Coturnix japonica: one gene and its partner. The protein of the gene in region 2 binds, or shares a complex with, the protein of the main gene of each other region. Links are inferred from orthologs where the notes say so. Each region holds a gene or a part of one and is shown on either strand. Other genes may lie near its edges.

Region 1 (4,375 bases), on a different chromosome or scaffold from region 2:
GTAAACAAACTTTTACAAATGTAATAGCAGTATTGCTAGTTAGTAGATGTGGTTTAAAAGTCGATGGTATCTGACAGTTGGCACGAGTTAATGTTTGGCATCAATGTTGTCTGTTCTTGCCTTGTGTGTATGTACAGCAAATATGTCTGATAAGGAGCTGAAGAAGCTACGAAATAAACAGAGAAGAGCACAGAAGAAAGCACAGCTGGAAGAGGAGAAGAAGAATGCCGAGAAAGAGAAGCAACAGAGGAATCAGAAAAAGAAGAAGGATGATGATGATGAAGAAATTGGAGGCCCAAAAGAAGAACTTATTCCTGAGAAATTGGCTAAGGTGCTTACTAATGTTTCGTTAAGCAGTCTAAATTGGTGGAAAAGTTGCTGTGAGCTTGCAGACAGTTTGAAAGTCTTTGTAATAACCTGGTGATTTTATACCTTCCTACTTTTCATGGGCAGCAGGTTTGATGGGAAAACTGTCAAAAAATTTTATTGAATTACTGCTTTTGTGCCAAGTTTTCAATGATAGCAGTTGAAGTTGCAGGCTCTTGTTTCAGGTGTAGTTGTCTTCATGTGTAGATTGCACCCTATCCCTGCTGACTGTGCCTTACTTATGAGCTGAACAGGTGGATGTCTGTATGTAACATGATTGCCTTTGGACTCCTTATGGCCTGTATTAATTTTTAATTTATTAAGCATTGCTGCTTTGTGGAAAAGGAGACATATAGAAACAGTGCTTTAATAGCATTTAATCACGTTTGTTTTGTATGTGGAAGGAAAGTTTAAAGAAGCAATTTAGAAACAACAGTCAACTGGAGCGATGTGGATTTTGAAATCTGAATTAAGACATACCACCCCCTGCTGGGGGGTATGAAGGGAAGGTGACCTGGAACATCGTGATGATGTACATGGAAGGAGTAGGAAAATAATTGGCGAAAAAAAGATGGGGGATCATACTGGGAAAACAGGTAGCAAAAATGCTCTGCTCACAGTAGGATAGCATCCGGGTATTGATGGATTCACTATCAGTATTTTCATATTGCATGTGTAATGAATATTATTGGCTTCTGCAGGGTATTCTGGAAAGCAAAGTGAACCTTATACCCAGGAAGCAAGTGACTTTAGAAACTTAACTCTTCACACTATATTCCCACTGTTGCAAGAATCCCAATGCTTGTTAAGATTGGGGTGGATTCAGTGGCTTGCTCTGGAGCAGAGGATGTTACGGGATATGTTGTGAAAATCTAGGCTGTCCTCAAGTTTATAGGGAATAGTTGCAGCTACATAATGCATTCCTTTCACAAATCTTCCCAAATTATATTCCATATTTAGTATCAGAATCATGATTTAGAGAGCTCCAAATACAGTTGGTTGTCAGGACTGAAATACCATTTATGACATAGCTGGTCACTTGCAAACAGGTTTTCTGAGACAGTTGAAACCAGATTTCCTTGGTGGGTGATACGCTGTTTTGGCATTAAGCACACAGAATATACAAGTCACATTCCAAAGCTAAACAGTTTTTAAGTGTAGAGCTGTGACTTGTTTACATGAGCTCCCAAAAGCAATTGTAAACCATTAAGTTTTTATAATGAGAACTGATAGTCTGAGATTAGCAGGAACCCTGTGAGGTGTCTGTTGTTGTTTTCAACATTTCCTTGTGCAGTTTAATGGAGCATATTGCTTCAACATTGTAAAAGCGTTACAAACAGACAACAACTGGTGTTTATTAGAATTTAAATACATAGGGCAACAGAATTTTCTTGTTCTAATTATCCTCAATTTTTTAATGCGAGAGGTCTGTTTGTAAAGAGTCCAGGTACTGAATTTGTTTGTGTTAAAGCCATCCATTTACTGGGCTCTGTACTTACATGGGGTAAAATAAGCAATAATTTAAACAGGTTCATAAGGCTCACATGCATTATGTTTTGAAGGTAACCCTTTGGTGCTACTTGAATTGCTGGAGAGTTAGTTGTTATCTTAACTATGTGTCCTTCCTGGAATCTGTAGGTTGAAGCACCTTTGGAAGAAGCCATTAAATTTTTAACCCCCCTGAAGAATTTAGTGAAGAACAAAATAGAAACACATCTCTTTGCCTTCGAGATTTATTTTCGAAAAGGTCAGTACTGGTGAAATAAAACTGTTTGTTTGTTCACATTCTAATGTATGACGTGAAGAACCACGTGTTGATCGATTGAGGAATCAGGCCCTGTAGAGACACAGCATTTCATTGTGCAGACAGCATAGCCATTAGCATTCTGTGAAGAATACAAAGTTGGAACGCTTGCTGATTATCTGGTTTCTTTACTGCTCGTGTAAACCACAAGGCTATGGAACTAATTCTCCCTTGTTTGCATCACAAGTGTGCAGAACTGCACACCATGTAGAATTGATGCACACTTGCTAATGAGTCTTTTGAAGTGCTCTGTTTTTAGTTCTGTCAGTATCAGTTAAATATTATGCTTTATGAACTACTTAACTTCGTATTTACTTTCTAGTACAAGTCTAATTCACTGGCTAAATAAATGTGTATTGGAAAAAAAAAAAAAAAAAATGGTTCTCCTAAAATGTTCACCTTCAATTTGTTCTGATCATTCTAATTCCAAATGTTAAGTTTTCCTGCAACAGAAGGTATTGTGTTTCAGCATCATTATTTTGACCAAAGAATTTGCCAATTCTTTTCTTTTCCAGAGAAGTTCCTTCTGATGCTTCAGTCTGTGAAGAGAGCTTTTGCTATAGATTCCAGTCATCCTTGGCTTCATGAGTGTATGATTCATCTCTTCAGCAGTGGTATGTATCTGTTGGGTATGACTTCATCTGTACGTGTTTCCAGATGATGCCTAACCTACATATGGTATTTGATTGTTTGTTTACAAACTGTTAGCATAATTAATTCAACATATTTAATAAAGTTAGGAAGCTTTTTAAGCAACTATGTGTTAAATGAGGTATGTTTATTGTAAGTGCAGCTGGATTTAGTTAGTCTTTGAGTTAGTCTTTGAACATAAGTGTCTTTACAGCTGTGAGCAATGTGGTGAGCCCATGGAAGAGTGAGAGAAGCAAATGGAAACTGCAGAATGAATAACATGACTTCTCTGCTTGCAGCCTGTGTCAGTGCGTAAGGTTTAGAATCACGTCAGTCTTAGAGCTTAATAGGCTTTAATCAGCAAGGCAGAGAATGGTATTGGAGTAAATGACTTTAGCTTTTTTTTTTGAGCATCGAAAAACCATTTAGTTGAGCTTTTTCCAAGCAGTTCTGGTTACTTACCTTATTTTATACATCTTCCTTTGAGATATGTCCTTTTCAATCATACTGATAATTTGAGCATGACAAAAATAAAAACATAAAGTAGATTTTATTGTGATTACCTTTGGTTAACATTTTTTTCCACTTCATTAGTATCTGAAAGTAAGGATCTGCCTGATGCAGTTAGAACAGTGTTAAACCAAGAAATGAATCGGCTTTTTGGAGCAACTAATCCAAAGAACTTCAATGAAGCTTTCCTTAAAAAGAACTATGACTCACTACCGCATAGGTTATCAGGTATTTTGCCTTCTTCCTTTTCCTGCCGGGTTTCTGTATTTTCTTCAATCTAGCAGTGGCCTTTCAGTATCTGCAGCAGCCAAGTAAAAATTGCTTTTTCCATGCACTGTTGGGAGAAGTGTTCTGAGTACCCACAATCAAGTATTATAGTGGGAAATATTGTAATGCATGGAAAGCAGGATGCAAGCCACTTAACGGGTCAGCATTACTGTCATGGCTCCATCAGTCTAGAGTTGGTCACAATGAACAGTGAATTCATTCTTTGTATCTTCTGTGGCATCCAGGTCCCAAACATACCTGTGCTGTGGGACTCAGAGCTTCTTTTTGGTTGTGTTCTGTCACTGTATTATAACAAGGTCTTAATGTGCTCTTCTCTCCTGTGCCCCAGTCTCCATGTGCAGGGAATAGGAATGCTTCTTCTAGAGGGAACTGGGGTCTGTGGCAGCAGATCTGATCTGTTATCCTTGTTGCCCATACAGTATGCTGCCAAAAGCTCCTATCCTGCAGGATAGAAGCGACCTAGTTGTTTCTGTACTTTGTCTAGCTCTTAATAACAGCTGTGCTCCTGTCTGCTCAGGTATCACACTGTAATGCTTCAAGTTGTTTTATTTTGAAGTGCTACTGTAGATGTATGGTAATACTGCCTATTAGTCACACTACCTCTATTTTATGTTCACTTACAATAAATGTTTGTCTTCCATTGAGTGATGAAGCTTGTGTTTCTTCTTGTAGCTGCCAAAATGATGTACTATTTAGATCCTTCCAGTCAGAAAAGAGCGGTGGAGCTGGCAATGACCCTGGACGAATCCCTCATTAACAGAAATCTTCAGGTAACAG
Region 2 (4,375 bases):
AAAATAAAAAAAAAAAGAGGATGACAATGAAGGTGTGTAATTTCAAAAAAATATATATCAATAGGCCTCTCTTTCCTTATTTGGCGACAAGCAAGTGCAAGAAAATGTTCATTGGGGTTTTGTTCAGTTGTCGGTCTTTTGCACATCTGCGTTCTGGCCAAGACAAGGGGCTTTGAGGTTTTTCTGCAGCACGTGAGCATCTGCGGGCTCTATCCTCTTGTAGTAGTTCTTCTTCGTCTCAATGATCTCAAAGCCAAACTTCCTGTAGAAGTCAATTGCTGACTCATTGCTGATCTGGACATGCCTAGGACAGAAACGAGGATAGAGAGACGGGTTTCAGAACATTCCACAGTATGAAGTTATGCATTTGTGCTGTGAACAAAGGATAAAGAACATAAGCAAGATAAGGAAAGGAACTATCTATCCAGAGAGGAATGACTGTTGTCCCAAGACTTGCAGTTCTGGCCTTCCCACAGGTTATCCTGAGATAACACAGCTCCTGAATAATCCGTGACAAATATGAGAAATGGCAAATACTTCCCTTCAGGAAAACTATTCTAAGGAATACAAATAGCCAAGACTTAAATATTGATAGCTCAGTAATTTCAATTTTTCTTCACTTGGAAGTGATGGATATCTTTTGGGAAATATATAACAAAGTTATATATGATTAAAGGCTCTAAAGTGAGACTTTCACTATTTTTAAACTTCCTTCAGAAACACTTCTTAGATGACCCAAAGCAATGTGCAGGGTTCATCACTCAGACAGCTCTAATACAAAACTGATGATGACATTGATGTGACACTGAATAGGATTTTAACTCTTTACTCCTTGCTTACCATCCTCCTCTCCTCACAGAAAGCTAAGGCAGCGTAAAGCAGCCCTGCGGACTTACAACTCCTCTTTAAAATACCTGCTGCTCTTACAGAGCAGGCACAAAGATACAACAGTATTGGATTTGGAGGAATTTACACTTCCTTGGCAGAGCAGGTCTCAACTTGAGCAGAGAGTTATTCATTTGTCAGTAATACCAGTGTCCAAAACACTCTTCACTGCACATCTCCAAAAGTCCTGGCAAGAGTTCAGGCTGCTGTGGAAACACATCCTAAGTGAAACCAACCCACAGATGCTGCAGGACTATCCTCACAGCACCCTGTGATTGTGCCAGTATAACCAGGAAGTTGTGGCCAAGGAGGGAGCTGGCTCTGAAGTGATTTTGGCCAAAACTGCTCTATAGGGAACTACTAAAACAACCCTTTCAAATACCCCTGTCCTCTACCCCACTGCTTGTTCACATGTCAGTATCATGCCAAATGCTTACATAGATGTAGCTGATATTTTGGAAACAGACATAAAACCAACCAACCCCAGAAACAAAACACTAAGAGAAGATTTCTCCAGCTGTGTCAGATAACTGACCTAGTTTACTGTGCTGCTGCACAAACAGGTGACCTGGCACACTGCAAGAACTGGAGTAAGCAGCCAGGCCTTGCCACTGAATGCAAATACAGATAGTCTGTTAAGCACCTCTGGAGTGATGTTCTAATATACATATTAGTGTCGTAAGTGACAACAGACAGCAAATAACTTAAAACTGTATGCAGGGCTTGCAGTGTTTTCTATTATGGGACAATGCTGGAGAGTATAAAAAAAGAAATAAATTCCACCTTTTTCTTCAAAGAATGCAATGCAATTCTGCTATAGATCACAGCTTTAAAACAATTTTAAGATTAAGCAAGCAAGCTTTTGGTTTTCTCTGTATCACACAACAAACCCAGAATACAACACAACCTTCCTTCTGATGCTTTTTTGCTAAATATTTATGAGGAAAGTTGTCTCATAATCCAACTTAGAGACTATAAAACACTTCTGGATTTCCCTCTGTTTGATCCCATGTACATCTCTCATTCTCCATAATAGTATGGGTGTAACTCTTACTTACAGATAGATGTTGTCAAAAGTGCCATCTTTCTCACAGATGTTTAAGACATGATTCAGCATTTTAGTTCCTGCCAAAAGTTAAAGAAATACTTAAAATCAGAAGCGCACAATCAATTCTGTACTTAGTTCGCCAACCACTTTCTTGAGCAGTTAACCAAAGTAGGATAAAATGACAGACCATGTGCTGAGGACATTGACTTGGCCCACAGATCTGCAGCAGAGAGAATAACTCATTGTCGTATGGATAGTAAAGGACTACTACCCCTGAGCAGCAATAATTAGAAATTAAAGACAGATATAATTTAGAAGAATGAAGAAGTAACACAATGAAGAACAGATGCATTTCTGGGCTCCACAATATAAAAAGGATATTTAAGTCCTTGAAAGTAAAACCTTGGAAGAAAGAAGAGGCTGAGAGGCAACCTCGCTCCTCTCTGCAGCTCCCTGAAGTAGTGAAACAGAATAAGATGCCCATCTATGCTCCTGAGAACTGATGGCAGGACAAGATAGGCACAAGACTGCACAGGGTAGTAGGGGTGGTGCGTTCAGGCTGGATATTAGGAAACATTTCTTTACCTTGAGGGTGTTAAAACATTGGAACAGGTTTCCTAGAGAGGCAGCCATGCCTGTCAGCATTAAGAGACATTTGGACAATGCCCTCATCGACATGCTTTAACTGCTTGTTAGCCTTGAAGAGAGCACACAGGTGCTCTCATCCAAGTGAACTATCCCACGTGAACTGCATGCAGGTTCCATACTTCAGACTAACTATTTTAGAATATCTTTCTGCTTCAATTTTCTATCTACAGAAGGTGAGTGTTTACATCACAGAAATAAAACAATGTGACTAAAAGAATTTGAAATCCTGAACAATAAAGTCCTAAAAATAAATAAATAAATTCTGAAAGACGGGACAGCAGGAGCATTTTATAAGTCACTCTTTCCCCAAAGCAATTACTGCTCTGAAAGTACACCTTGAGCTATCTTGGTTAAAGTAGCAGAAAAACTCTACAAGGCAATTTAAAAGGCTGGCCAGACATTCTTGTTTGTTTGATGACTCAAGACACAAAAGAACCACCTCCTCACCTATTCCTAGCCGTCGGTAGGGTGCCAGGCATCCAAGTGTCATGATATACAGCCTCTTTTGGTTCTGGGAGTGATCCACCCTACAGCACACTGCTCCCACTGCGATATCATTGAAGTAGGCTGTCAGGGAGTGAAGCAAAGCGTTATCAGTTATACATCTCAAACTACACATGCAACTCCTTTGTTTAAATGCTGTAAATCCCTTCCCAGCTGTTAATTCCCTGACCCAGATAAAGTCATACACTATGACTAACACCAAGGCAAATTACCAGGGGTACTCTAACAGTGTTACTTATTCTTAACTGCAATAAGCAAATGACTTCAGGAGGTAAGTTGGTAGCACACATCTATGAAGTTTTCTGCTGTAACAGAAAACGTACCACTCTATAGTAAAATAGAAGCTATTTATAACATAAACCCTTTGAGGTTAAGACAGCAGCTTTTTAAGATTCCAGCTGTTATTTTTTGTTACATTAAGCAACAAAATAGAAGAATCTGCTACTCAAAAGCATTAAGGACGGCACATCACAGCCCATGATTGCTGGCAAGAACATAGATACCTAATTTGGCTAGTTCGCCAACCTCCAGTACGTCCTTGTAGAACTTGTCGTTGTAGCTGACAGGAAAGATGACTTGGTTTAGCCTCTTCAGCTGTTTAATGTTGTGGGGTGTCACATCTCCCAGCTCGATCCGGCTACTGGAACAAATCAAAACATGCTTAACATTGACACAATCCAAAAATTTCTACGGACACCAAAAATTAGTTACTTTATATTTAGAGAACTGCTCCACACAATGATCAGTTCAATACATAGATGAACTGCAGCGTTCAACCCACAAAATTCACTTTCATCAGTGGCTGCTTTAACTGCAAAAATACAATATAAATCAGTGCTGTATAAACAGGAGTTTGAGGCCACACTTTACACTGATATACTTATTAGATGTGCTGCTTTATGGAGTGATTGAAGAACATCCAGGAGAATACTAACCTCTGTAGAAACTTAAATGTGAAGGACAAGGCTAGGAGAGACCAAGAAAATGCAGACTTTGTACTGACAGGTGGCAGGAATTAATAAAGTTTAGACTTAGACACGAGTGCCATGCCACCATACATTTAATAACGTGTGCAGCAGAAAACTCATGTTAAGCCTATTAATATGTAAGTGTGCCACTGCCAAGGTGATAAGTGCATCAATTATGATCCTCACTGAAGTCATTCTTCCTGTTGATTGAGAGCAGAAACACTAGTTTGAAACACAAGTACACAGTGCATTGGGTTCCCAGCCAAATTTGTGTCTGAGTGTTGTATTCGAGTAAAGCACCTCAGTAGCACTAGAAGAGTTA

The links.
Region 1: the proteins of NAA50 (region 2) and NAA15 are in contact, whole or in part, in a cryo-EM structure (PDB 6PPL), measured with the Homo sapiens proteins. The link is inferred for Coturnix japonica from reciprocal best matches to the Homo sapiens genes NAA50 and NAA15. Residues at the interface, in NP_079422.1 of Homo sapiens: Arg5, His14, Asn15, Lys17, Gln18, Arg21, Leu22, Val25, Phe51, Asn52, Ile54, Ala55, Leu80, Pro82, Tyr83, Leu86; in NP_476516.1 of Homo sapiens: Pro369, Pro370, Thr371, Leu374, Ser403, Thr404, Pro405, Thr406, Leu407, Ile408, Phe411, Glu433, Ala436, Leu437, Asp438, Thr439, Ala440.

What each region holds. Positions count from the first base shown.
Region 1 is NC_029519.1:25,692,655-25,697,029, forward strand, and holds part of NAA15 (N-alpha-acetyltransferase 15, NatA auxiliary subunit), read left to right. Parts: intron 1-137; coding exon 138-331; intron 332-2,004; coding exon 2,005-2,113; intron 2,114-2,685; coding exon 2,686-2,784; intron 2,785-3,394; coding exon 3,395-3,538; intron 3,539-4,270; coding exon 4,271-4,368; intron 4,369-4,375. UniProt on the Homo sapiens protein: Auxillary subunit of N-terminal acetyltransferase complexes which display alpha (N-terminal) acetyltransferase (NAT) activity. The NAT activity may be important for vascular, hematopoietic and neuronal growth and development.
Region 2 is NC_029516.1:71,046,999-71,051,373, reverse strand, and holds part of NAA50 (N-alpha-acetyltransferase 50), read right to left. Parts: intron 3,726-4,375; coding exon 3,589-3,725; intron 3,149-3,588; coding exon 3,029-3,148; intron 2,011-3,028; coding exon 1,944-2,010; intron 305-1,943; coding exon 124-304; 3' UTR 1-123. UniProt on the Homo sapiens protein: N-alpha-acetyltransferase that acetylates the N-terminus of proteins that retain their initiating methionine. Has a broad substrate specificity: able to acetylate the initiator methionine of most peptides, except for those with a proline in second position.